Linked DNA regions of Rattus norvegicus. The protein of the gene in region 2 purifies or fractionates together with the protein of the main gene of each other region. This does not show direct contact. Links are inferred from orthologs where the notes say so. Each region holds a gene or a part of one and is shown on either strand. Other genes may lie near its edges.

The links.
Region 1: the proteins of Anapc4 (region 2) and Anapc7 purify together in Homo sapiens (affinity purification with western blotting; 14 studies listed by BioGRID and IntAct, with this or other methods). This does not show direct contact. The link is inferred for Rattus norvegicus from reciprocal best matches to the Homo sapiens genes ANAPC4 and ANAPC7.
Region 3: the proteins of Anapc4 (region 2) and Cdc26 purify together in Homo sapiens (affinity purification with mass spectrometry; 11 studies listed by BioGRID and IntAct, with this or other methods). This does not show direct contact. The link is inferred for Rattus norvegicus from reciprocal best matches to the Homo sapiens genes ANAPC4 and CDC26.
Region 4: the proteins of Anapc4 (region 2) and Ccnb1 purify together in Homo sapiens (affinity purification with western blotting; 3 studies listed by BioGRID). This does not show direct contact. The link is inferred for Rattus norvegicus from reciprocal best matches to the Homo sapiens genes ANAPC4 and CCNB1.
Region 5: the proteins of Anapc4 (region 2) and Anapc16 purify together in Homo sapiens (co-immunoprecipitation; 10 studies listed by BioGRID and IntAct, with this or other methods). This does not show direct contact. The link is inferred for Rattus norvegicus from reciprocal best matches to the Homo sapiens genes ANAPC4 and ANAPC16.
Region 6: the proteins of Anapc4 (region 2) and Ccna2 purify together in Homo sapiens (affinity purification with western blotting; 3 studies listed by BioGRID). This does not show direct contact. The link is inferred for Rattus norvegicus from reciprocal best matches to the Homo sapiens genes ANAPC4 and CCNA2.
Region 7: the proteins of Anapc4 (region 2) and Anapc13 purify together in Homo sapiens (affinity purification with mass spectrometry; 9 studies listed by BioGRID and IntAct, counting the BioPlex papers as one, with this or other methods). This does not show direct contact. The link is inferred for Rattus norvegicus from reciprocal best matches to the Homo sapiens genes ANAPC4 and ANAPC13.

What each region holds. Positions count from the first base shown.
Region 1 is NC_086030.1:39,818,815-39,822,823, forward strand, and holds the start of Anapc7 (anaphase-promoting complex subunit 7), read right to left. Parts: upstream 2,801-4,009; 5' UTR 2,672-2,800; intron 2,086-2,671; exon of another isoform or gene 2,084-2,085; 5' UTR 1,930-2,083; coding exon 1,829-1,929; intron 1,813-1,828; exon of another isoform or gene 869-1,812; intron 707-868; exon of another isoform or gene 1-706. UniProt on the Homo sapiens protein: Component of the anaphase promoting complex/cyclosome (APC/C), a cell cycle-regulated E3 ubiquitin ligase that controls progression through mitosis and the G1 phase of the cell cycle.
Region 2 is NC_086032.1:62,367,773-62,371,845, reverse strand, and holds the start of Anapc4 (anaphase-promoting complex subunit 4), read left to right. Parts: upstream 1-1,273; 5' UTR 1,274-1,455; coding exon 1,456-1,584; intron 1,585-3,005; coding exon 3,006-3,111; intron 3,112-4,073. UniProt on the Homo sapiens protein: Component of the anaphase promoting complex/cyclosome (APC/C), a cell cycle-regulated E3 ubiquitin ligase that controls progression through mitosis and the G1 phase of the cell cycle.
Region 3 is NC_086023.1:80,872,527-80,876,690, forward strand, and holds the start of Cdc26 (anaphase-promoting complex subunit CDC26), read right to left. Parts: upstream 2,801-4,164; 5' UTR 2,733-2,800; intron 5-2,732; exon of another isoform or gene 1-4. Other genes in the region: Prpf4 (U4/U6 small nuclear ribonucleoprotein Prp4), read left to right, coding at 3,060-3,086, 3,760-3,937. UniProt on the Homo sapiens protein: Component of the anaphase promoting complex/cyclosome (APC/C), a cell cycle-regulated E3 ubiquitin ligase that controls progression through mitosis and the G1 phase of the cell cycle.
Region 4 is NC_086020.1:33,648,989-33,652,225, reverse strand, and holds part of Ccnb1 (G2/mitotic-specific cyclin-B1), read left to right. Parts: intron 1-344; coding exon 345-527; intron 528-2,277; coding exon 2,278-2,436; intron 2,437-2,619; coding exon 2,620-2,856; intron 2,857-3,090; coding exon 3,091-3,231; intron 3,232-3,237. UniProt on the Homo sapiens protein: Essential for the control of the cell cycle at the G2/M (mitosis) transition.
Region 5 is NC_086038.1:28,478,090-28,481,589, forward strand, and holds part of Anapc16 (anaphase-promoting complex subunit 16), read right to left. Parts: intron 816-3,500; coding exon 649-815; intron 1-648. UniProt on the Homo sapiens protein: Component of the anaphase promoting complex/cyclosome (APC/C), a cell cycle-regulated E3 ubiquitin ligase that controls progression through mitosis and the G1 phase of the cell cycle.
Region 6 is NC_086020.1:121,358,897-121,362,886, forward strand, and holds the start of Ccna2 (cyclin-A2), read right to left. Parts: upstream 2,801-3,990; 5' UTR 2,700-2,800; coding exon 2,529-2,699; intron 1,880-2,528; coding exon 1,636-1,879; intron 716-1,635; coding exon of another isoform or gene 628-715; intron 1-627. UniProt on the Homo sapiens protein: Cyclin which controls both the G1/S and the G2/M transition phases of the cell cycle. Functions through the formation of specific serine/threonine protein kinase holoenzyme complexes with the cyclin-dependent protein kinases CDK1 or CDK2.
Region 7 is NC_086026.1:112,083,027-112,087,204, forward strand, and holds the start of Anapc13 (anaphase-promoting complex subunit 13), read left to right. Parts: upstream 1-1,378; 5' UTR 1,379-1,431; exon of another isoform or gene 1,432-1,620; intron 1,621-1,649; exon of another isoform or gene 1,650-1,789; intron 1,790-3,711; exon of another isoform or gene 3,712-3,803; intron 3,804-4,178. UniProt on the Homo sapiens protein: Component of the anaphase promoting complex/cyclosome (APC/C), a cell cycle-regulated E3 ubiquitin ligase that controls progression through mitosis and the G1 phase of the cell cycle.

The DNA.
Region 1 (4,009 bases), on a different chromosome or scaffold from region 2:
TACATGCCAGGGAGGCTCTCCAAGTCTGAGGTACAACTCTAACCTCTAGAGGAAAGCTGTAACAAACCACTCCATAAACACCCTTCATTCTTTGAATTTCCTATGTGACATTACACACATTGTTCAACCAACTTGCCCATTTTCGATTTGGGCAGTGCTGAAGATGAAACCTATGGTCTCAAACATTTTAGGTAAGAATTCTACCACTGAACTTTTTTCAACAGTGTATACACTGTCTCTTCAACAAATAACAAAATATAAAGGATACAGGTCAGAACTTAAATGCTTCCTGTAGCTAAAGAAAACTGATGATCTAACCTAGTGTGAACAAGCATGGATTAGCCAAAGTCAGACTAGCTAGAGAAGCAAACTCAAGAGCATTCAGACAATGCTAACACACTGTCAAGACTCAAGAGTAAAGATTAGAGCATTAATCCCCAATACTATTTGCTATGACGAATCACTCAGACCCAGGGGGAAAGGCCTCAGAATCAACATAGAAGACTGACAGAGACCAGTGCGTCCCGTGTCACATTAAGAAGATGGTGATCGGGGCTGGAGAGATGGCTCAGAGATTAAGAGCACTGAGTGCTCTTCCAGAGGTCCTGAGTTCAAATCCCAGAAACCACATGGTGGCTCACAACCATCTGTAATGGGATCTGATGCCCTCTTCTGGTGTCTGAAGACAACTACATATTTACATATATATGTAAATATTTTACATATATATACACACATATATACATATATACATATATATATATGTATATATACATATATATATGTATATGTATATATACACACATACACAGTGGTGGACTGCAGTAGAAACTATCTCCAATCACAGACAACCAGAACTCAAACCCACTTGCTCCTCTAAGTTCTCCGGAGTATAATCTTGGTCGACCTATTGGACTGCCTTGTAATAGACACGCACTTTCATTAAGTTTAATAGTGCTTCTCACACATGGAAACTGCTCTTTCAACAGATGGCAAGAGAGAAGGGGAAAGATCAAAGTGGAAAGGTCTGGTGCTAGGAGGTCCGTTTAAGAAGAGGCTTCTGAGCTGAAAACTGAACCAGGAAGCAAGCAGTTCTGAAGTGAAGCCACAGGTGCCAATGCCCGGAGAGAATGAACTTGTACTGAGAGTTCGGGCAAGGTGAGAAATCAAAGAAAGGAATGAATAGGTTGACTTGGGAAGCCACGTCGAAGGGTGAAGCAATGATGGGGAATTTTTATCAAGGCCCAACAGGCACTCAAGGCCACAACTGTCCCGTGCTTCAACTGAGACTCAGTAAACCGGTCTAGACTCAGTAAACTCCGTTGGTAGGGTTTGCCTAGCACGCATGAAATCCCGGGTTCGAACCCCAGGACCACACGTACACCGAGCACAGTGGGGCAAAAACCAGCGATCCCAGCTTCTGGGAGCAAGGTCTTCCTCGACTACACAGTCTGTTGCGGGCTCGTCTGGGCTACAGGAGAGCCTGTTTGTAAACAAACCAAAACAAACCAGTCACGACAATGCGGCTGCGTCGGGCCTTACAAAAGGCTGCCAGAGTCCTTTAAAAAAAAGGCGCCACGACGCTCGCCAAGGGTGCTCCCAGTCTCGAAAGTGGGGTTCCCTCCCTACGCCAGAGCGGAACCTCCATGTCTGACTGGGTGGACTGGGTCTCCGGGAGGCAGCAAGAGGACTGCGTCGTTCTGGAAATAGCCAGTCCTCCGAGACCACCGGAAGAGGCCCTCGCTATCCGCGCAGCCTCAGCCGGACCACAGCGTCCTCCACTATCTCAGCCCCGGCTCCCAGACCGCCGCTCCCCGCCTCCACTCACGGGTTGTTATTACTCATGGTCAGCAGCAAGCTGCTGAGGAGCCGCACGTTGGAGTGCAGCCCAGCGGCCGCCATGTCCCGCACATGATCTATCACACTCATCCTGCCCGGCGACACCGTGACCCAGCAGCAGCTGACAGAACCCCCAGGAGCGGAGCCGAGTCTCAGGGAAAGTTCCAAAATGGCGGCGGCGGCGGGGTCCTTCTGGTCCAGACGCGGCTCCGCCCCCCGAAGATATAGGTTGCTACGGATGTGCCTGCGTAAAAAGAGGCAGTCGTGAGGCGAAAGGGGTTGCCCCATCATTAAAGGATAAATTTTATTGAGGACTGACCACGCTAGAAGGAATATCCGAGTAGGAATAGTGGTTTTGCTGAGATAAAGACAACCCAAGAAGAATGGACGCCTCTCAGAGGCTAGCAACAATGTTTAGGAGTTCATCATAAACCTAGCAGAGGCGGAAAACTAACAGTTAAAATTGAATTTTTGAATCAGGCGCCCAAGGGCTGACTTTTTTCCACTACGCGTGCGCTCCAGGGGAAGGTGCCACGCCCCCTCATCTGCTGGCTTGTGTTCCTGTCGCTCGCTGAGTAGATTCCTTGCTACAAGTCATGGTTTACCAATTCAAGTGGCCCGCTAAATCCAAGTACAAAGAAAGGATAGGTCCAGGAGTGAGCTGGATCTCTGATGGCTCCACTGTCAACATCTCAAGCGTTTACGAACTCGTTACTGCATTGCATAGTCACAAACTGCAACGCTGAAGCCATTCCCATAAAGGGTGGAGAGCCGACTCAGAAGTTAAATCTGCATGCTTCTCTTGCAGAAGAATTCCGTTCCTAGCACCTACCTGGTGGCTCACAACAGTCTGTAAGACCAGATCCAGGGCATCCGACTCCTTCTGGTGTCCATGGGCACATACATGCATGTGGTATACAGACATACATTCAGGAATGCATGATAATCATAAAAATAAATTAAAAAAATAACAACTTATGGCCGGGCGGTGATTTGATCCCAGCGCTTGGGAGACAGAGGCAGCCTAATCTCTGTGAGTTCGACATCAACATGGTTTATAGAGTCCAGGACAGCTAGGGATACATAGAGAAACAGTGTCTGAAAAAGCCTCCCCTAAAATAGATAAATACTCTGAATTGTCATTCATTCCCTACTTGCCAACGAAGAAACCCAAACTTTCAAATGTTAAAGCTGGGCACCTTAAGAGTAGAAGCACTTATCAGCAAGGCTAGCTTTCTAAATTGGACCCCCTGTGTCCACCATGGTGGAAGGAGAGAGCAGACTCCTTCACGTTGTCCTCTGAGACAGCAGCATGTGCCTTTCACTCCCACAAAATAAGTAACTACATGCAAATAAAATTTAAACAACTGAAGATGTTTGTTTAGATTTGAGATTCAAGGTTTGTTTTCATTTTTTTTTAATCCAGGAGAGAGAGAGAGAGAGAGAGAGAGAGAGAGAGAGAGAGAGAGAGAGAGAACGAACTCACATGGATACTGGGTTAAAACTCACATTCTCATGCTTCCGTAGTATGGTGGTGACCTGAATGAGAATGGCCCCGTAGGCTTGGATAGTTGACTGTTTGGTTCCCACTTAGTGGATTGTTTAGGAAGGATTAGAAGGAGTGGCCTCGGAGGAGGTGTACCTCTATGGGTGAGCTTCGAGGTCTCAAAAGCCCACACCACGCCCAGTCTCACTCCCTCTCTGCCTCCACCTTTCAGATCAGATGTAAGGCCTTAGCTACTGCTCCAGAGCATGACTGCCTGATGCCCTGCTTCCTACTGTGATGATCATGGGCTAACCCTCTGACACTGCAAGGCAGTCCCCAATTAAGTGCTTTATTTTGTAAGTTGCCTTCGGTCATGGTGTCTCCTCACGGCAATAGAATAGTATCCAAGGCACGCAGCAGGCACTTTACCAACTGAGTCCTATTCACTTAATCTTAAAGAAACAGATGCGAAAGAAAGTCCATTTATTCTAAGAAAAATCATGACAGAAACACACACACACACACACACACACACACACACACACACACACACGAATGTTCTGTCTGCATGTACAGCTGCATGTCAGAAGAGAGCATCAGATCCCTTTATAGATGTTGTGAACCACCAATGTGGTTGCTGAGAATTGAACTCAGGACCTTCGAAAGAACAACCAAGGGCAGCCC
Region 2 (4,073 bases):
AATTGTTCTGTTCCTCAGTGGATTCCGATGAAAAGTGGTAACAAAATCAGATATAACTCTAAGAGAAGCCACTGGAGGAGAATGGAGCTGGGTTCATAAGCATTCACACAATGGCAAGACTGAGGGTTTATACTGAACTGAGATCATCGATCAGTCCTACCAGATGGATTTCAACAATTTTAACCTGGAGACTTGCTTGCATCTAAATTAGGGTGTTTGTTCAGTAATAACATTTAGAACCTTTCAAAAAAAAAAAAACTACTACACATGACAAAATGTAGACTTTGCTAAGAAGGATGAGAACTCTCCCATCTTGCAGGATGGTCTTTGTACTTAAAACTGTCCCCCAGAGAAGTTGTGATCAACATATTGATTATTGAAGTTGCCTGGCAGTCAGTTTCTGTCCAAATTTTCTCACAAAATTGAATGTTTAGATAGCCATAGAATAAATCCTGCTTCCTCTTAACTGTGGTGAGTTTGTTACAAGTTAAGTGATTATTTAAATAGGATGAGAAGTCAAACTATTTGTCCCGTGTCCGGGAGGGTACAAACACTTTAACATATTTTTCTGTAAACAGTGTTTTGTTTTGTTTTTAAATGTTAATTTCTGTCCAATGTTAATTCTCTTTTAGTTTGCTAAACTTCTGCCTGATAGAGAGGGCTTTTTGTTGTTTTAAATTCTACTGTGCAGCCAGCGCTGAAAACTACTATGAGTGTCCCAAAGGAGGTGTGTGGATCGGGAGTTTTGATTAGAGCCTAAACCTGGAACAATCAAGGGATTATCTGCATTGAAGCAAATTTCTGAACAAACGGCAAAGACCTTAAAGGGGTTCCCACTATGAGTGTCCCAAAGGAGGTGTGTGGATCGGGAGTTTTGATTAGAGCCTAAACCTGGAACAATCAAGGGATTATCTGCATAGAAGCAAATTTCTGAGCAAACGGCAAAGACCTTAAAGGGGTTCCCACTTGTCCGCGTATACACCGTTAAGGATCCTTTGGAGCTTGCTGGGTACTAGGCAACCCAGAGTAGCGGACCTTCAAGGCACTAGAGCTCGCTCCGCCCCTAGCCACGCCCAGCCACGCTCCTCTCACTTCTAGCCCCGCCCACCCCTGCTGTAGCCCAGGCCAACTTTGCCTTAGGCACTCGCTTGCCGCGTCCACATAGCTCCGCCTCATATCAAGCCCCGCCCAAGTGCGCAGCCCTGCGTTCTCCCCGCCCCACCTGCGCGCCGCCGCTTTGCCACTCACTTCCTCTCGCGAGGACAACCTAGCGTCGGCGCCGGAAGCTTCCTCTGAGCGCGGAGGGCGGAGTGAGAGGGCGGGGAAGGCAGCTGGCTAGGAGTAGGCCGAGTTTGAGAGTCTGGCAGGTACCGCTGCTGGCAGGGCTTTGCGCCAAAGCTTTGTGGCCGGGTGCTCCGACGGCCTTCACGAGAGCGTCGTTGCAGGGCCGCACCCATGCTGCGCTTTCCGACCTGTTTCCCATCCTTTCGGGTGGTGGGAGAGAAGCAACTGCCGCAAGAGATTATTTTCTTGGCCTGGTCACCCAAGCGAGACCTCATTGCTTTGGCCAACACTACAGGCGAGGTAAGTGAGCTGGTGAGAGTTTGCCTATGCTGGGACTCTCGAGCCTCAGTTTCCCCTTTCGCAGACATGTTGAATCACATATCTATCCTGTCCCTACATCTCAGCGTGGCTGTTCACTTGAAGAGAAAGTGTAAAGGACCGTGCCTGCCAAACATGGTGTATATTCCATTTCCTGTATGGCCAGAAGAACAAATTCCCTCAAAGTTCTGCACACACAGGTCTCCATGAATTGATTTGGCCAGGGATGCAACATCAGACCCCGCCCAATTGGCTTTCAGATGAGTAGAGAATGAAGATGAACTGTCAGGTCCAACTAGAAATGTGTGTGTGTGCACGCGCAGTTGCTACGGAGGATGTTTGGTTTTGAATTTTTATATTTTTGTTACATCTAGCTATTTAAAAGATCTTTAAGTTGAGAGGCTGTGCTTCACAGAATTGCAGACAGAATGTGTATGAACATCGTCAATTAGCATTTCTAACATTAGAAACGTGAACACTCAGTATCAAGTATAACCAGAACATACCCAACTTTTTGTGGGGGAAAATTATTACCTGGCAGCCATCTTGAAAGGAACCCTTCAGCTGTGCCATTTAACATCTCACCTATGTAAAACTAGGTGGTAAGGAAGTCCTAGCATCCAGGGCAGTTTCGTGTGCCAAATTGCATTATCGTGTTGTGTGTCATGATGGCTCTGTCTCTAAGATCCATGGCTGGTGACAAAGCTAAGAGCAGTCATGGTTGTTATTTTACTATGTCACAGCTACCTTTTGATATTGTTTCTGTTACTTCTTTTGTTTGTCATCTGGGACAGCCTTCTTAACCTTTTCAAAAAAGTAAGCTTAAAAGATATGAAAGGGGCTGGAGACGAGCTCAGCCATCCAGAGCACATGCTGTTCTTAGTGATGACCTGGGCTTGGTTCATAGCACCCACATGGGTACTCGCACCTGTCAGTAGCTCCAGTTCCAGGGAGAACTGATGCCCTCTTCTGGCCTCCTTGGGCACTGGCTGCACAAATGTGATATAAATATATACATGTACACACGTGTACTTTTAAAAAAAATGAAGGCCGGACAGATGACTCAGTGGTTAAGAGCACTGACTGCTCTCCCAGAGGTCCTGAGTTCAAATTCCAGCAACCATATGGTGGCTCACAACCATCTGTAATGAGATCGATGCCCTCTTCTGGTGTGTCTGAAGACACCTACAGTGTACTTAAAAAATGAAAATATGTAGAGTGCAGGTCTGAGTTGTGCCCTCTGAGTTCATCCATTTCTTTGAAAATGTCTTACATTCATTTGGACACAGTTGCTTTGTGGACAGCTAAATACTCAAAAGTGGTAATTAAAGTTTGTGTTCTGGGGGTCTAGGTTCATTTTATTTCTGCAGATGAGTTTCTGCTATTACATCTTTTCGTCTTAGGTTTTACTGCATCGCCTTGCAAGTTTTCATCGCGTCTGGAGTTTTCCACCAAATGAAAGTACAGGAAAAGAAGTGACCTGCTTGGCCTGGAGACCAGATGGCAAACGTATGATAATGCTACGAATGTGTATCTTTTATTTTCAAAAAGGATATTCTAAAAAGAATACATTTTTCTTGGCACATTTTAGAATTATGGTTTTGTTTCTGTTATATAGGTCTTACCACACAACCCCGACTGACCTAGGACTTGCTGTGTAAACCAGGCTGCACTAGAACTTACAGAGACTCACCTGCCTCTGCCTCCCCCGTGCTAGGCTTAAGAACATGTGTTACCTACCATACCTGGCCCTATATTAGAATTGTAAATACTAGTTTGAGACTTTTTCTTTTTAGAATGTTTAAAATATTTTTCGTGAAAGTCTGTTGTTGGCAAGGATAACTCTTTATCAAGCCCTGGCTTTGTGGCAGATAGGATCGCAGTCTGACACAGTTATAGACCACTTGGCTTTGGTTCTCTCTGCTCTCTTGTCCTACATCATTTGACCCAAGTACCGTTCACCACTCATGGGTCAGTTCAGTGCCATCACAGCCCTTTTCTCCCCCAAATTCAGTTGGCACTAAATGTGAGGTTCATAAATTTTCTCTATGTAAGGCAGTTTACCACTCCCGAGAAACCTCCCACTGGGACTCCATTTCCCACAGGTCTTTTCCTGCTGTTGTTGTTCAGATCATTCATCTTGCATGGGTGTGTGTGGGGGTTGCATGCGTGTGTCCAAGTGGGTGTGGGTGGGTATGTGATTTGTTTAGTTTTTTAAATTGATAGTTTTTTGAGCAGTTATTCCAAGTGTTAGAATAGTAAAATGCTATGGGCTACAGCTTGTGGTCTGTAAGTCACATAGGGCTCTGAATAACAATGAATGTGGCCCATGGCCCAACACAATTTTTTTTTAAATATTTATTTATTTATTTATTTTGTGTATGTAAGAACGCTGTCTCTATCTTCAGACACACCAGAAGAGGCCATCTGATCCCATTGCAGATGGTTGTGAGCCACCAAGTGGTTGCTGG
Region 3 (4,164 bases), on a different chromosome or scaffold from region 2:
TGTGGGGAAAACACAACACAACAGACCATGCCAATCTAGGGCAAAAACAGAACTCTAAGGAGGGTCCTTCAACAGCACTGCATGAGCATCTAGCCGAGGGTGGGCTGCCTAAGAGTGGCTAGGGATCTCAATTCCCTATGGGAAAAGGTGTCTTAGTGAATTTGAAGGGTAGGCAGACAGACTTAAGGTCAGAGAAGTTCATATGGAGAATGAAGGTTTGTGTTAACAAAGCCCATGTTTGTTTCAGAACAAACACTTGAGCTGGCAGCACCCGGTAGAGTGGGCCCTGCAACTCACCTGGGCAGCAGTAGAGCTAGCCCCGGTGAAAGGCGTGGATGAGGTAGTCCCTGAAGACCTGAGAACAGGAGAGCTGACACTCCCCCTTGCCAGCTGTGGCACTGGGTAAACTAGCTGGAGCAGTGTTGGAGAGTTCACCCGGATGGTGCAGATACAGGTGGCAGGCTGATCAACTCAGCTACCTCCCAGGACCAAATCCAGGGCTCTGAGTTGGCCCACCCCAGCATCTACCCCATCTATGATCTGCACAAGCTGCAGGGTCACATCTCCATGACACAGGGCAACAACATATCTGAGAGGAGTCCTAGTGAGGTTCCAGTATAGTGTAGCAAAAGCCAGAGGCCCTAAAACAGGCCCATGACTCATTGCACTGAATGAGCATTTATAAGTTTAGGTGTGTGGACAAACGGGTATACTCCATGATACACCATGATGTGCTACAGAGTCCATGACAAATTTTTGTTTATTCTATCTTATTTTCTTATTGTAGGGGGGAGGTTGCAAGGGCAGATGCAAAGGGACAGGGAGATGAGTGGGACTGGGGTGGATGATGTGATGTTCACAAAGAATCAATCAAAAGTTAAGAAGAAAACCTAAGGGGTTGGGGATTTAGCTCAGTGGTAGAGCACTTGCCTAGCAAGCGCAAGGCCCTGGGTTCGGTCCCCAGCTCCGAAAAAAAGAAAAAGAAAAAAAGAAAACCTAAGCTGACTTTAGTATCTGTTGAAGGTATTGTCTCTATGTCCTCCACAGCATCCACAACAAAGTAAACTGAGCCATAAAAAATAGAGAAAGTGAAACTAACTTTTCTTAAATTCTAGACTCTCCCATTATTGGTTTTTCTTCTCACTTTGATAACTCAAAAGTTTTTGCCTCTTAAAAAAAAGTTTGTTCTATTTATTTGTTGGGTGCTGGTGAAAGCACATAGCCCACAGGCAGAGGTCAGAGGACAATGTCTGGGAGTTGGTTCTCTCCATCTACTATGTAGGACACCACACTTAGCATGGGCTCCTTTACGACTGAACCAACCCACATTCCCATTCTTTATATTACTTTAATACAGAAGCCTTGGGAAGCTTGAAAAATTATTCCAGTTTTATAAAGTTGAAGCAAACAGTTTAATTAACAAATTCAGAAGCCGGGTGGTGGTGGCACACACCTTTAATCCCAGCACTCTGAAGGCAGAGGCAAGCAGATCTCTGTAAGTTTGAGGTCAGCCTGGTCTACAGAACATGTTCCAGGGCATCCAGGGCTACACAGAGAAACCCTGTCTTCCAAAAAAAAAACAAAATAGCCTCCTATAAAAGTTACTCATAGACCACTAGAATAAAAAGTTGTGATAATGATCTTCGTGAAAGTTCCGCAAAAAAAAAGTTCCGATATAGTGTGCATCCATATAAATTATTATTGCATGCTAGCAGAATGAAACAAAAGACTACGATGTATACGAAACATTTACACTTCTTACACTTCTCTCAGGAGTGTCACATTATATCACATCTCAAGGGGCCATATGGTCAACACAAAACACTGGCCTGTGACAATTCAAACTGCTTTATTCTATCAGATACTACCTTCTACCAGATCCCTAAGTAGAGAAATGGAAGCCAGCTCCAAAGAGAAAGGGAAGAAATACTTAAGAAAAATAATTTCCTACTTGGGTATGAACTGAAAGCCTCACCACTAGAGAGCAACAGTGAGTACGGGTTAAAAGCGCGGCAGTCCACCCGCCACATTACTAACCCTACTACACTGTGGCTCCAGAACGACGGATTACCTTTTCTCACCAGAATTTATTTTCTGATCTTTACTCTTGTTGTCCCGCGACTTAAATAACTAAGATAGAATAAGCTCCTTGCGCGTAACGTGGCATTTAGTAAGCCCTCGAAGTGGAAGTGCTCTTCTAACTGGAGTTGTTCGGGGAAGAAAGAGGCTTAAGAGTGAGAATGAGTCTGTTCAGCTCAGCAAACGCGAATATTTTGCAATCCCCGCAACTTTCATGTAAGGGTTTAAAAAAAAAATATCTCTGACGGCCTAGCAATCATTGCAACTGCAGCTGCTGGTATACACTTTATCTGGCGCCTCCCTGGACCCTTTATTTCAAAGAACATATAAAAAGAACAGGCTGTAGACAAGTAAAACAACAACAAACTAGGCCGCAGCTCCTCCACCACATCTCTATTTTAGCCTTAGAAGGCTCTTCGAGTTTAATGTCTTCTTAAAGCACAAAATCACTTCGTAGCCACCCAGTTACCAGGGGCCCCCGGAGAACTTCCGTCGTGAACAACAGTCCTCTTTCCCAGCTCCAATGCTGCAGAAGTCTAGGGAGAGATTTCAATGGCAGCACAGGCCTCGGTTTCAAAATGACGGAAGGCCTCCCGAAGGAGAGCAGAGACCCTTGGTTTGTTCCAGATTAGACTTGCGATTCGCAAACTTACCTCTTTTCAGGCCTCTGAAGCTTCCCAGAACCTCAACTCCCACCTTGACTCCATTGCTACGCAGCCCGAACTACACTTCCCAAGTTGCTCTGCGCCTTTTTTTCCCACGCGCCTCTTCTCCCGAGAGGTTGTGCCGCTCTATAAGGCCACGCCCATCGATGACAGCCGACACTTGGCAACTACCACTCCCAAGATACTTCGCGACTCCTAGAGCACGAACTGGTACATTTCCGGCCAGTGACGCACTTCCACTTTGCTAGGCGCGCGGTTCCCGGTCTGAAAAGCAGAACGGGATTTGGCTAGGGCCTCGCGGCTCCAGAGCCCGGCATGGCCTCCTCACGAGCCTCCTCCACGGTACGGAGTTCCGCATCTAAGTTCATGCTTATCCTCTCCTAGGGAGGACGCGGTCCCCGTGGGAAAGGGCCGTTACCTTACGGGTCCGGGCAGAGGAGGAGGAGGAGGAAGGCTGGGGGACCGTGGTGTGGACCTTAGCAGCCTTTTCCTGATTTCTAAACGCCTAAACTGCAGCTCTTTTTGCACTGCTCTTACTTAAGCCCTGAGCAGTGAACAACACTTTTTCTGACTGCTCCAAAGCACAGTTCTTTGAAATCGGGCAGTGTCTTGACGTAAGCTGTACGACTGGTACTTATGAGGCCTCCCAACTTCTAATAGGCTCTGAAAGTATTTGAAATGTGTATTCCAGTAACATTGTGACTTGGTGCGCCGAATTGTTTGGGTTGTTTTGGGTGTATGTCCAGTGGCGAGAAGTTATTTTCGTAAAATCGGAGATTGCATTTCGAATAGATTAAAGTAACAGGCCCCAAAACAAACCAAGACATATCAGACAGAAATTGTTTAATTGTAATTGTGTGCCAAATTTAACGAGAGCGTGAGCTCGGCGCAAAGTCACTTTCGACTTTGTCCTAGTTGTGAGAGGAAATAAAATGAAGGCTCAGCATTTCCTTCATTCTTTTGGAAAGCATGGTTTGCTAGGACCAAACCTTAATCGGGGTCTTTGATTTAACAGACAACCAAAACTAAAGCACCTGACGATTTAGTTGCTCCTGTTGTGAAGAAACCACACATCTATTATGGAAGCTTGGAAGAGAAAGAGCGGGAACGCCTGGCCAAAGGAGAGTCTGGGATTTTGGGAAAAGAAGGACTCAAAGCCGGCATTGAAGCAGGAAATATTAATATAACGTCTGGTAAGATGCAAGTTGAAAATCACACACCCCCTCCCCCCCTTTTTTAACAGTGCTAGGAATCCAACCCAGGGTTTTTTGCATGCTAGGCAACTGTTCTGCCACTGAACCACATTCTCATCTTTCCACTACACTCTTGCCTGTGACCTCACACTGCTTCTGCCTCCTCCCTGGTACTAGAATCAGGTGTACACGACTGTGCCCCTCTGATGAGTCATGTTATAGGATCA
Region 4 (3,237 bases), on a different chromosome or scaffold from region 2:
CTATGGTTTGTTTTTTTCTTCATGAGTGAGATATCAGTTTGCAATGAGTGCAGGGCCCAGGGAGATCTGAAGAGGTCGTCAGATATCCTGGAACTAAGGTTGAGTCACCTGGTTTTTTAATAGAAAACCAGCCCTTGGCAAAAGCAGCAAATGTTCTTTATAGCTAAAACCATCACTCCAGCCCAGTATGAATCATTTCCCAAAAAGAAATTGGGGGAAAGAATCTGAAATACCTTTCGTTTAATAAAATGAATTACATTTATTTAGAATGACTTACTGAATTGGGGATGATGACTTTACGCTCCCATGATGTAGCATGTTTCATGAAGTCTCTTTTCTTCAAGGTTGATACTCCCTCTCCAAGCCCAATGGAAACATCTGGATGTGCACCTGCCGAAGAATATCTGTGTCAGGCTTTCTCCGATGTGATTCTTGCAGTGAGTGATGTAGATGCAGACGATGGTGGTGATCCAAACCTCTGTAGTGAATATGTGAAAGATATCTATGCTTACCTCAGACAACTGGAGGTCAGTATTGTCATTAGCGTCTGCCTTTACTAACTGCAGCTACCCTAAGCCCTTACTCTTGCTATTTAAGATCCTCCTGGATCAGTATTCCTGGTGCTGGAATTAAAGGGAGATGCTGCACTATACCTGGTTTATCCCTTTATGTTATTTACTAACTAATTTAAAGGCTAGCCTGGAACTCACAGAGATCCTTCTGCCTCACTGGTGCTGGGATTAAAGTTCTGTGACATTCAATTCAGCTGTCAAAGAAATTTTTACTAACAGCGCACCTGACAATTTTTGACAATGAATACTATTTGTTACACTCAGAGCACTGTTGTTAGTTTTGAAACACTAAAAATAAAGTCACTAACCCCGTGAAGTGGACTTGCCACTTTGAATATAAAATGTCAGTGTTGGGAGATACCTTCCTAAAATAGACATACCATAGAGAGGGGGAAGTCCTACATGTGTGTGGTTCGAGAACGGGTTGGATGGTGCTAACAGACACTCGCTGTCCCACACAAGGCATTTTGTATCAGTGTGCGCTCGATTCTCTATCCAAGGTGGAAGTTGTTGGTCCCATCACCTCCACCTACTTGGAAAACTTTCTATCAATGGGACTTGCCCTTTTATCTTTTAAACAAGACATTCTATATAGTTCATGCAGTTTGATCAGGTTTAGACCCTCCCTGTCCCCCCAGTCCTAGGGACAGTCCTTGTGCGTGCTAATCAAGTACTTTGCCACTCAACTATATCCTAGCATTGTCTTCTCAGGTTGTCATTAGTTTTTTGGGTTTTTTGTTTGTTTGTTTGTTTGTTTTTTTATTTTTTAGTCTCTTTTGTAATAGTGTTTCCAAGTGTTGTTGTATGGGTGGGCACATAGAGGGGGTCAAATGACAACTTCCAGGGGTTGATTGATTGCCTTGTGAAGTGGCAGCAGTACATGCCTTTAATCCCATCACTGAGGAGGCAAAGGGAGGAGGCTAGCCTGATCTACATAGTTCCAAAACAGCCAGGGCTACACAAAGAAACACTGTCTTGAGAAACAAAAAGACAAAAGAATTGGTTCTCCTTCTGCCTTTATGTGGGTCCTGGAGTGAATTAAAATTCAATTTAAGGGCTGGAGAGATGGCTCAGTGGTTAAGAGCACTGACTGCTCTTCCAGAGGTCCTGAGTTCAAATCCCAGCAACCACATGGTGGCTCACAACCATCTGTAATGAGATCTGATGCCCTCTTCTGGTGTGTCTGAAGACAGCTACAGTGTACTCATATGCATAAAATAAATAAATCTTTAAAAAAAAAAATTCAATTTAAGTCAGCAGGCCTTTCCCCATGAAGCCATTTTGCTGACACCCATTCTTTGTAGCTAGTGTCTGTATTTTCTAAAGTAATGTTTAGTAAGATTCCTGGTTCCAAACTAGCTGTCTTCCTTTTTCCTTGTTAATACTTTTTTTTGTTGTGTTCTAACACTGCAGAACTGGGTTTCGTATTTGCGCTATGTTGGGTGTTTTGAGTGTATAACTTAGATCAGCTTTCCAGCAGAGTGAAAAGATCTGAGATGAGGATGGGTACAGGGTATAAGCTGCAGTCATTCTGGTTAACCGAATATCAACAATATGAAGAACCTGTTATGACTAACCTAAACCTTGCTTTCTTGGTGAACTTCTGTCCCAAGAGCTACTTGTTTTGTGTTAGTTGACTGGCCTTTGTGGACACAAACGTTATATGGCAGGATTGTTCTAGAATAACTGGCATTTTCTTTTACAGGAAGAGCAGTCAGTTAGACCAAAATACCTACTGGGTCGTGAAGTCACTGGAAACATGAGAGCCATCCTAATCGACTGGCTAATACAGGTTCAGATGAAATTTCGGCTGCTGCAGGAGACCATGTACATGACTGTGTCCATTATCGATCGGTTCATGCAGGTATGTGTGCTCCAGCCATTTGCAGTTGGTTCTCCGGTTGTCTTCTCTGAGAGTCTCAGAGGAGGGGGAGCAGGCCCTGAAGGTAGGCAGGAAACTTACCTGCTGAGCCTGAAACACCCTTTTCTTGGGAAGTCAGGTGTATCAGTTGAGAGGTTCGAGGACAGACTGAACTTGCCATTGCAGGACAGTTGTGTGCCCAAGAAGATGCTGCAGCTGGTTGGTGTAACTGCCATGTTTATTGCAAGCAAATACGAGGAGATGTACCCTCCAGAGATCGGTGACTTCGCTTTTGTGACTAACAACACTTACACCAAGCACCAGATCAGACAGATGGAGATGAAGATTCTGAGAGTTCTGAACTTCAGTCTGGGTCGCCCTCTGCCTCTGCACTTCCTCCGTAGAGCATCTAAAATTGGAGAGGTACAGACTTCTGGAGGAATTTTTTTCTTTTCTTTTTTTGTTTTTTTTTTTTTTTTGTTGTTTTTTGTTTGTTTGTTTGTTTTGTTTTGCCACATGAGAAAATACAGCTGCTAACATTTAAAAATAAGGCTGATGACCTAACTACATATCGTGTGGTTACTTTGAGAGTTTAGTCCCAGGCCTTTGTCAGTTACTGCTAACGGCTTAGAGTGGTGTGTGGGTCGTCTGTTCCAGGTCGATGTGGAGCAGCATACTTTGGCCAAATACCTCATGGAGCTCTCCATGCTGGACTACGACATGGTGCATTTTGCCCCTTCTCAAATTGCAGCTGGGGCTTTTTGCTTAGCCCTGAAAATCCTTGACAACGGTGAATGGGTAAGC
Region 5 (3,500 bases), on a different chromosome or scaffold from region 2:
TTTAGCTTCTTTTGTTTCTTTCCTTTCCTTTCCTTTCTTTTCCCTCCCCCACCCCCCGTCTGTCTCTCTCTGTCTCTGTCTCTCTCTTTTTAAGAAAGAGGGTCTCACTGTACACCCCTAGTTGGCCTGGAACTCACTATGAAGAAGAACTTAGAGACATCTGCCTGGCAAGACATATTTAAGTTCAGTGTCTCACATGAGTCTTATGCTTCTACCATGAATCACCAGTTTACCTAACATGAATCCGATACGTTCCAGTCACTAACACCATTTCATGGCTGCTGCCCGTGACCTATTTCTGGCCAGCCAGTCTGTGTGCTAAGACGGTGGCTGCAAATCTATCTCCAGTGCTATAAACCATGCGGTCATACAGCCATGTCTGGCAGTGGCCCATGAGAGTCACCTTCACAGAGGTAAATACATTAACTCTTATTTCCCCTTCAGGCCTCTCTGGTGGGGTAGATACTCACTAAAAAGAAGATACATCAACAGGCGTTACAAGACCACCTGGAGCAGGAGATCAAGAGGGTCCAGAGCCAGTGGCAACCCTGGTCAGGTTACTCAAGGGCCCCCAGCCCCAGCTCCTTTACATTTTACATGCATTGAAGGTCTGAAGCCAATTATTCAGCAAACACAGCATGAGATCACCTTCTAGTATCTCTCCAGCTCCTTTCGGGTAGGTGAACAGAGCTTTCCGTGGTGGGGCAAGGTCGGACACACTGAAACCAGATCCAGGGACAGAACTTCCACTGACCCCACCAGCTGAAGATGAGGATGAGGAGGCGGCCATTCCCTCCAGTAGAAGTCTCTCTTCACTAGAGGAAAAAAACAGCAATTGGCAAGTTTATAAAGCCAGATGGACGACACTTCATTCTGGCCCAGTAGGACCAGCTTTCCCTGTCCTCCATCCTTATATAGTCTTTTATAATGTCACGCAGGTTTTCAAGTAAATCATGTTTAAGAAGAGCTTGAATGTGGGGTTGGGGGATTTAGCTCAGTGGTAGAGCGCTTGCCTAGGAAGCGCAAGGCCCTGGGTTCGGTCCCCAGCTCCGAAAAAAAGAACCAAAAAAAAAAAAAAAAAAAAAAAAAAAAAAAAAAAAAAAGAAGAGCTTGAATGGGTATGGTGGGACACACCTTTAATCCCAGGAGCTAGAAACAGGCCGATACGTGAGAACTGGAAGCCAGCCTGGTCTACCTAATGAGTTCCAGGACAGCTAGGGATACACAGAGAAACCCTGTCTTGAAAAACCAAAAACCAAAACCAAAAGAAATCTTGCCTAGTTAGAGAGCCCTATTTTCTCCCATTAACCCATTAACGAATTATGCCACTTGGGATTGAATGTGGATAATTCCTGAGTTATGAAGGGAGATATGGCAGGGCCAAGGCAAAAATGGGACCACAGATAAAATACTACTACTCCACAGGACAGTTTGTCTTGGATACACTCCTCACCAAGCCAAGCCACACCACCAAGTTCGCTTATCAGGTTTTCCAAGTAGGAGTCCAGAATAACACTGTGTTCTGTTCCCAAGGAAGGGAAATCAGTGAGGAAATTCATATTGGCACGTTCATTAAGAACTCATTAATCTTTTCATCTAAATGTCATACCTAAATCCAACACTTGGTGGCGCCCCAAAGCTGGAACAAAAATAATTCAGGATCAAATCTCAGAAACAATGGTCCTTCATGAACTGAGCATCTGTGGGCTTAATTCTGCATCCCATCTGAAAACCCGGACCCCAGTACTGAACACATGTCTCACAAAACTCAGAACAAGAACACAGCCTCAGAAGCCTATGAAGACTCTACAGTATATATTTTAAGACTGGTTAGTACCATGTTTATGCCACTTAGAACCTGCACCTTGGAAATTCTCTGATATTCTAGTTCTGCCCAATTTGGTAGCCATCAGTTTCATGTTGTGTCTAATAATGTAACTGAAAAGCTATTTATGTCCATTTAAAAATACTAGATAAAATTTCAATAATGGGGCTAGTGGTTTCTCACTGGGTCAGAATTCTAGTATTTAACTGAACAAATGACTTTACACAGGAGTAGTGGTGTGTACTGGGACATTTTAGTTACACAGGAGGCTGAGGCAAGGGATTTTGTAACCTGGAAACATAGCCGAGAGCCTGTTCCAATAACAATGGACAATGGCTAATCTTGATATTATACAGATTTCAGCATTGAAAAAAAAGACTTTATTTATTTATAGAGAAGGTCTTAATTTGCTAGCCTGGAACTTACTATCTATCCTGACCTGGTCTGAGCGATATTCAAGGCAACCCCACTGTGTCACCTTCCCAAGTGCTGGGATTATGGTCATGTGCCACCACGGCTGGCTTTGAATCAATCTTTAAAATGAATTTTCCAGGGCTGTGGATATTGTTTACTTAGGAGTATCTGCCTAGTATAGAGGAAGCTTAGTTCCAGCGCCACATAAACAAGGCATGGTGGCCCAGAAGTAAGATTCTTGTACCTGGGAGGCAGAGGTGGAAGAACCAGAAGTTGGAGGTCATCTTTGATTATAGCAATTTCAAGGCCAGGCTGGGATACATAAGATCCCTCAATTGGACAAAACAAAATGCAAAAAAAAAAAAAAAAAAAAAAAAAACAAAACAAAAAAAAAAAAACAAAATGCAAAAAAAAAAAGAAAAAAGAAAACAAACAAAAAACAAAAAACCAAACAAACCCAACAACAACAAAAAAACCAAACTAATAAAAGCACAACTCCCTCTGTTATGGTCAAGGGGAATTGTGCTGAGTCGTTTTTACTCATTTCCCCCTTAGTTCTGACATACTTGCTAGGAAAAGTTGAAGGCTGGGTTATGACTCAGTGGGGGGAGCACAAGCTATAAACATTTCATGCTCTAGTTTCAATCCCCAACACTTTTTAAACAGAAAACTGAAACACTTTTTAAACAGAAAAATACTAGAGAATACTACGTTCCTGTAAATCCTTTATGTCCAGACCATCTCGTTTCCTTCTAAGGAAAGTGGTACACGCAACCTGAGATGGTGGCTGCTGGCCCAGAACTATGTGGCAGTGACATGTGGCTGTCAGAGAGGCAGAGCCTGGTTTCTAGTTGCATCATATGGCCGTCGTAGGTTGCATTAATGAACACTGACATGGGCTAATAGTAAAACTGCTGCTGTGAGACTAGCAGCCTGTTATGAATAAATGCAAACTCATTAACTAGCTCTTTTCCTTTCAACTTTTTTTTTTTTTTTAAATGGGGTCTCACTGCTTAGCTCTGGCTGTTCTGGAACTTGCTATGCAGTTCAGGCTGGCCTCACACTCACAGGGACCCATGGGCCTCTCAGTGATGGTATAAAAGACTCTGCCTGCAAGCCCAGCCGCACTGACAATACTCTCAATTTTGTCCTTACATTACTTTCAGAATTTACTTGTTCAGGGAAAGTAACCGTTTCTGTGGAATTTATAACTTCTCTTTTGTGGTACATCAGTTTGAAATATAGCCTAGTAAACTTTTAA
Region 6 (3,990 bases), on a different chromosome or scaffold from region 2:
AATGTTAGTAAAGATATCAAGTCTGTCATACCATGTTCAAACAGACTAACTATAATCTGTAAGGGACTTGGTGTTTGTTAAACAGGGTCTCATTCTGTGGGCCAGACTGGCCTGAAATTCACTCCGTAACCTAGGCTGACAATCTTGCCTTAGCCTCCTGAGTGCTATTGGGCATTAATATACTCAGCTCTAGTTTTTACCATTTAAATTATCTTGAGATAGGGGAATCTGTGTAATAATAGTTTCCATACCCTCCTCCTACCCCATCAGTAGAACTAAGTGAACTGGGGGGCTGGGAAATGGCAGTGCAGTGCCTGCTGGATAAGCATGAAGATGTGCATTGCATTCCCAGCACCACTCAAGCTAGATGTTGTGGCATTGTCTGCAACCCTAGACGGGAAGAAGAAAAAGGGTTGAAATACTCAGTTCCCTGCAGTTTGATGGCCAGGCTGTCTAGCCAAATCAGTGAGCCCCAATGAGACCTTTGATTAAGAAATGATATAGAAAAGTGATTGAAGATACCCCAAAGTCAAGTACTCTCTCTAGCCTCTACATGTACCAGCACAGGCAAGCGTAATACTCCTTCCCCTGGCACACATATAGCATAAGGTAGAAAGTGACAGATACCAACATCTCTGGTCTCCACAGTGAGATCATAGCACCGGCAGAGCTGTCTATAGCAGCTATTCTGCCTTCCATGTGTCTGACCTGCAATCTGACAAACATTTAAATTAGTTTTAAAGGAATGGCAGATATAATGCTTAAAACTGTAGGCTCAAGGAGCACTCTTAGGACTGGCATGTTAAGAAGTGAATCATACATAAAACTGAAATCTATTATCTCAGCCAAACACTTATAAAGTCATATTAAGATAGGCATTTAAGATCTAATTAAAATTGATGTAGCTTTGTCCAGCAGTGCCCTCCCTGCTGGTTAAGGATTTGAGTCCTTTTATAGGTCAGTGGATCTGTGATCCTTTCTAAGCCCACTGTAGTAATCTTAACTCACTGTGTTATGAGCAGGTAAGCATAGTCTTAAAACTCAAAAATATCAACCGCAGGACTTTTGGTGACTGCAGTCGATCAGTGCTAAAGTACAGTGGTAAAATCCGTTAGTCATGGCTATGATGAACACATTTGGAGTGAAAATTTTAAAAATGCTACGTATTTTAAATATATTTGAAACGACATTTTGATTCGTAAACTGAATGTAAATAAACCTGAAATTTGCAAAATTAAAAAAAACCTCAAAAATATCACTAACCCAATTAAGTAACTAATTTTTTAGCTTAATAACAATCTTTAGAGTATGCCAAGCAAGGTACGGATGGTGCCAGGCCTGTAATCTAGAATTTGAGAGGCTGAGGCAGGACGGTTTGAGTTCAAGGTTAGTCTGAGCTACAGATTGAGATCCTGTCTCAAAAGGTAAAGGTTTGGTGTGGTAGCACATGCCTTTAATCCCAGCAATCAGGAGGCAGAGGTAGGTGGATCTCTTATTTCAAGGCCAGCCTAGTCTTATAGAGTATGAGTTTCAGGACAGTCAAGAATACTCGAGAAACTCAGAGGGGGAAAAAAAGACAGCAAGGAGGGAAGGAAAGAAGAAACAGGGACTGGTAAAAATAAAGAGTAACCTTACCAAAACTACCATCCATTGGATAATCAAGAGGTACCAGTGGTTTTCTGGCTCCGGGTAAAGAGACAGCGGCACTAAAAGCCAGGGCATCTTCACACTGAGTTTCTTTTTGCTCAGCTGGCCTCTTCTGAGTCTCTTCAGCTTCATCCACATGAATGGTGAAGGCAGGCTGTTTACTGACTGCTTTCCATGAAGGAACAGTAGGGACGTGCTCATCGTTTATAGGAAGGTCCTTAAGAGGCGCAACCTAAAGAGAAGGAATTCTTTTTTAATACTTTGCTTCTTGCCCTGTGGGTACCAACTTTTATTTCCAAATACTCTTAAGAAAAATGTAAGTTCATGAGTCAAAGTCCAGGTAAGGTGAGTAAACCGATTTGTCACAGCCATTTCTACAAAGGCTATAAATGCAACGGATTGGAATTCCAAACTAATCAAAGACTAAAGTTAGGGGAAAGAACTGATTCACAACTTTAGCCTCAGGGTGGAGCAAAACAGCAAGTCTGGCTAAAATGGCGGAATTTACCAAGCAGAATACTTGCTTTATGTCCTTCCCTTAAGTAGTAATCTGTGAAGCAGATGGTGAGGGGGAAGGGATCTATATCCTACTGCAATGCCTGGCTTTAAAAGTGGAGGGAAAGGTACATGGCCGAAGTCGACACGCGGGGCACTGCTTGGTATGACCCTAGAATTTTTAGGAAGACCGCTCCACTAGTGCTGAAGGGCAGTATACACGGGTCCGCAGGGCTCGTGGGGCTATTTGGTACTAAAAACGCCCGGACCGCAAAGGCTGCAGCCCGACTACCCCTAGAAAGCTCAGCATGCTTTTTGGCCCTCTGGGCTGGTAAACCCAAGACCGCTTCCGCCCGGCCCTCCGACAGACCCCCGCGCCCTTTTACCCGCCGAGTCTTGAGCCTCTGCTGCGGCGCCGGTCCCCGCACCTTCCCGGCCTTCAGCACCGCCTGCGCCCGCGGCTGCTGGGCTGGCGCCACTTTTTCGGGGTTGACATTCTCCTGGTCTTCCTGCTGGGAGAGCAGGGCCGAGCCCGCCTGTCTCGAGTTGCCCGGCATTGCGGCTCCGGTCCGGATCCGTCGGCGGCAGAGCGTGCAAGGCGCCCGCCGCTCCCGGGCTGCGCGGGACCCTGGCGGCCGACGCACGGAGCAGGCGCTGCGGGAGGGAGGAGCGCAGAGCCCAAGTGCCGCGAGCCGCGCGCGGCCCGCCGGCTGTTCTTGTAGTTCAAGTAGCCCGCGACTATTGAAATGGACCAATGAGGGCGGTCGGGGCCAGTGACGTCACCAGGAGCGCCGGTCGCCGCGAGCAAAGGCCCGACGGGAATCTGGCAGGGCGGGCGCCTGAGGGACGCGCCTGCGCAGAGAAGGGCGGGGCAAGCGGCAGCCTTCCGCAACTCTCCGATCCTCTGTGGGTCTGTAACCTCCCAGGATCCTACCAGAGCAGCTGGGCGGACCAGACTAGCCCTCGGGGCCTCGGAGTGTCAGCATTCCTGTCAGCTAAGGGGTGTAGCGACTTCCCCTGGTCGCTGGGTGGCGCCTAGGCAGGACTGTATGGACTCAGCTGACTAGCCGCTCCCTTACCAGCTGACTAGCTGCTCCTCTCTCTCGGTGGTGCTGCCCATTCAACACAGGGAAACTGATATTTTTACTGTTTACTACTGCTTCGCCTCTCCTGTATATATTTTTTGTTTGTTGTTTTTGAGGCAGGGTCTCCCAGTTGTCCTGCGATTCACTGACAATCCACCCGCCTCGGTCTCATGAGTTCTGTTCTAGGACTAAAGGCATGTGTCACTATGCCTGGTATTCCAGTAAACTTTTCCTCGCCTCTAATAAAGATGGGTCAATTTAAAATGCCAACTTGAGCTATTGTTGGTACCAAGTGGTGTATTACAAGAAATTCAGATGTCCATTTATTTTGTTAATCCTTGGTTGTGACATCAAATAGTACACCATGAAGTTCCAGTGACCCAAATAGATATTACATTTAAAATGAACTGCATGAGTTCAAGTTAGTTCCAAGTCAGCTATTTAGTGAGACGATGTCTCAAGAGTAGAAAAAGTGTGCATAAGAAAACGGGGCAGCCAGGAGGCGGTGGCTAAACCTTTAATGCAGGCAACTCACCAGGCGGGTGGATCTCTTGTGAGTTCAAGGCCAGCCTGGAGGGCAGAGCTAGTTCCGGGTCAGCTACACAAAGAAATCCTGTCTTGAAAATCAAACCAAACCAAACCAAACCAAACCAAACCAAACCACCCCCACCCCCCCCACACACACACACGGAGGGAAGGAGGGAGAGAGAGGGAGGGAGAGAAATACAAAACCTTACTAAAATAAAGACCCAACTATACGTGC
Region 7 (4,178 bases), on a different chromosome or scaffold from region 2:
TTTTGTAAAACTTAAAAAAGCAAATCTAGCCTTTGGCATGGAGAGTACCTTAACTATGTTAGCTATGATAGTGTGGACTAATGCTGTCACCATCAGCCACTACACAGGACAGGAAGGCCTAAGGAACTGTCCCCTACCTCCCCACAGGAGGAAACAGCATCAGCAGATACACATTCTAAAGGGACATGCATCTGTTTATAAATCTCTAACCCATTTTAGTTTGACAACCTCCTTAACTGATCGCTGAGGACGGCACAGTGAAAGACAAGAAGCAGGGACAAAAATTACCTAAAAATGGCGCTGCATTCCAATGAATGAATATAATTCATGAATGAAACGAAGATAATTCGTTTCATCGTATCACTAAGCTACAGCCTTTAAGAGTAGGTGTAAATAGTTAGATAATTAAAGCCATTGATCTTTGACTTACAAAATATAAATACAAAATAAATGCAAATGTTCGAAGAATTGTACAAAGAGCACCTACCCTGCTTTAATAAAGTAATACATTTTAAAACTCTAAATTGGCCTCAAGAAAGAGAACTCAAAAAGCCAGGCGAGGTGGTGCAGATCCTTAACTAGCAGGCAGAGGTAGGTCCATCTACAATGAGGCCAGCCTGGTCGACCAGAGCAACAAAGGAGAGCCGGTGCTAGTTGGAGAGAAAGGGGATCGCTTTGAGCAATAAGTGTACAGTTTATAAATGAAAACTCTGTAACCCCACGATTCTGTGAAGTACAAAAGCCCTTTCCAATCAATCCATTCACGGTCAAGTGTCTCCGCGTAAAGCGTTGTTATCGAACTGCTCTTTCAAAACTTTCACTCGACTTGAAAGCGTTCCGCAATTCGCCTGCATCAGGGGTTCCCGCACCTTTCCTACGAACATTACGAGGGAACCCTGCGGACTTCACGCTGAGTGGCTAATGCTAAGGCCTGGTCCTACACCCGTAGCAGCAGGGTTCCTCCCCGGGAGCGAAGCAACCCGCCCTCCCGCTGGCCGTAGCACCTGGCCGGTCAGCTCAGAGCCCCATAGGGAGGAGACGGAGGAACCCAGGGACGCAGCGGCCGGACAGCAGTGGGCGTGCAGTGGAGGCCCCCGCGGTAGGTGGGCCGCAACGAACTGCGGCCCCGGGCCATGCGGCCAGAAGGTTAGCGGCACCACGGTGGCCAGGGCCGCAAACGCACAACAAGCCGCAGCTCGCCCGTCTTAGGGGCATGCGGTCGGTTACGGAGCGCGCCCCCGGCAGAGCGCGCCCCGGGGCCTGCCCGCCGTTCCTCTGACCGGGAACGCGCGCACGTCACAATAAATCGACGTTCGTCCCGCCCCCTACAGCAGCGAATGGACTCACCTACATACGGGGTATGAGAGCGCCGTGCGTCACGTGACCCGGAAGAAGGGCGGGGCCCGGAGGAAGCCGACGCGCGCTCTGTGGGTAAGGGTTTTTCGCGCCCGCCGCCCGGGTTTCTGAGAGTAGCCAAGCGTTCGCCCTCGACTTCAGAGTCGTTCAGCGCTTCCAGAAGCGCAGGCCGGTACTCTCAACCGACCTTCAGAGCCACTTCTTTACTGCACGCTGTGCGGAGTGGAACGGAGCACCCATGGCGACGCTCGACCTCCCCCTTGCACTTCCGCACGTAGTAGCTCCAGCACTCGAACCGGAAACGGCTGCAGCGGGTGGTTCTGCGTCTAGTGACCCAAGATGGTGGCCTGCGAAGGCCAATTTTAGTATCGGCCCCCGTGCTTTTAGCTTAGAAATACATTTACAAAGCTGTGATTGTGAAAATACATAAAACGTGAGTATGTCTCATAGGACGTACGCATCTAATATCTAGAAAGAGATGTCTGGACAAAAAAACTCCTGTTGTCACATATTGTGCTCAGAGATCAAGACAATCTGAGAGCTGAGAATTTATCTGGAGGACCGGGCATAGTAAGAGAAGAGTACAAAAAGTTTAAGAAACCTAGAGAGGTTATGCTGTGTCGTAAGGGTTTGGGGCATTGCCTGTGCTTGCTTTTCCCAGGGGGAGCACCCGATCACCTGACCCAGGAAAATAGATGTAGACTTCAAAGCCCTGCCGCGGTTCCTGTTGTTTAGAAGGACGAGCAAGCATAACTGATGAAGTACAGTGGGTGGGTAAAAAGCAAGCCGGTTTGTAGGCATGTGGGAGAGGGTCGTGTTAAAAAACATTGAGGCCGGGCTCAGGGAGTTAAAAAATCATGAGGCCAGGCTCAGAGAGATGGCTCAGGGGTTAAAAACACTGTCTACTCTTCTAGAGGTCCTGAGTTCAATTCCCAGCAACCACATGGTGGCTCACAACCATCTGTAATGAGATCTGGTGCCCTCTTCTGGTCTGCAGGCATACATGCAGGCAGAGAGCTGTATGATATATACATAATAAATAATTAAAAAACAAACAAACAAACATTGAGGCCAGCTTGTTGAAAGATTGGGAATCACCGCATTACCACTGGAGACAGTAGGACTCTGCCAGTCAATCACAAAGCTGACCTAACTTGTTTCATAGATCATTTAATGTGAGCAACAAAGCATTCAAGGACAAAGAGCCTGCTAAAAAACTGGAAGGAAGTCAGAACACTTTAGAAAAGGATGCAGTCTGTATAGGACTGGGAAAATCAGTACAGGAAAGAATGAAATGTAGCCCAAGACACAGCTATAAAAACAAAAGATTGACAGGAAAGGGGAGGAAACTTGTCAAGCCCTAGAGGAGTGACTAGAAGTGGCTCTTCAGCTAGCTTTGCATTATCCACTAGCTAGGGTCTGGTTAAGTCTGAGGAAAACTGCTAAGCCATCACCTGGTTTTCACTCAGCAGGAGGAGCTGACCACCTTTGGCTTCAGTGTTTGTATGCGGGTGTGTGGTGTGTCTGTGTGCATGAGCAGACAAAAAAGGTGTGGTTTCTGCCTACAGGTGGAGTCGTAGATGAGTGTAGAGGTCAGAGGTCAACGTCTGTGTCTTCCTTTATTACTTTGAATCTTAAACTAAACCTGGAACTTTCTGATTCAACTAGACTGCCTGGCAGCCTCCCGGAGGACACAAGTGTGTGCCATCGTGCCAGGCTTTTTACGTGGGTGCCAGCAATCTGAAGTCAGGTCCCTTGTTTGCACAGCAAGCACTTCAGTCCACTGAACCTCCTTCTGGGCCCCATCTTGTTTAATTTTTTAAAGTGAAAGCCCTTTCCCTCCTGCAGACTCGGTAGATAGTGCTAGCTTTGCCTTTACACCATTGGAGACAAGCACATAGCCGTATGGCAAAGTTTGTTTCTTGCTTGAGTCTCCCTTCTCTCAGAAACAGCAGTTCCTGAGAGAGCTACTGGTGCTAACCCTTAGGACCTTTCCTTGGGTTGCCACTTTGTGGCAAGAAGCACAATAGGCTGTGTCTGTGATAAGGAACAAACTTGGAAGCCAGAAACCCAAAAAGCACTGCTTGACGACCAGTCTTTTGAGTTAGACTGCAACAGTTTGAGGAGAAACATGTGAAGCAGTCTGTGGTCAGGGGCCTAAGCAAGCATCCTGAGCCTTTGGAACAGACACTGAGGAAAGCCAACAAGACGGCCTAGTGGCTTACAGGCAACCTGAGTTCAATCTCTGGGACCCACTTGATGGAAGAAGAGAACCAAAATCGCCACGTTGTCCTTTGACTTCCACATGTACATACACAAATAAACAGGGTTTTTTTTTTTTTTTTTCAAGAAGGATGAAGGCTGGATGTTGGGATCGCAGCACAAAGATCCCTGCACCCACAAATATCCAGGGAAAATGTTAAACGTGCAGGATTGTTTTTCCAATGGTAAGATGTAAAACCTGTTCTTCTATCCAAAGAGCTGGGAATTGGAAGTGATTAACAGTCCTGTAATCTGAGTGATCTGTTGGGCCAGACCACATCAGGCTCCTACAGCCAGGGCGAAGGTCGCTGATAGCCCAGGTGAACTCTCTTGCTGTATGACTGAGACCTTCCTTGGACCCCAGTACCTATCTCTAGAACCCGCCTTCTTGGAAGGAATGTCGTGGACCCTAAGTGCAGTTTTAATGTAATTACACTTTCTTGTGCACCAGAAATTGTTATACCAGGAAACTCTTTTTCAAATCATACCAGTTTAAGTCCGTTAGAAATAAACCTCCTGGCATCAAACTCCCCAAGTCTAAGCCAGACTGGTGAAATTTC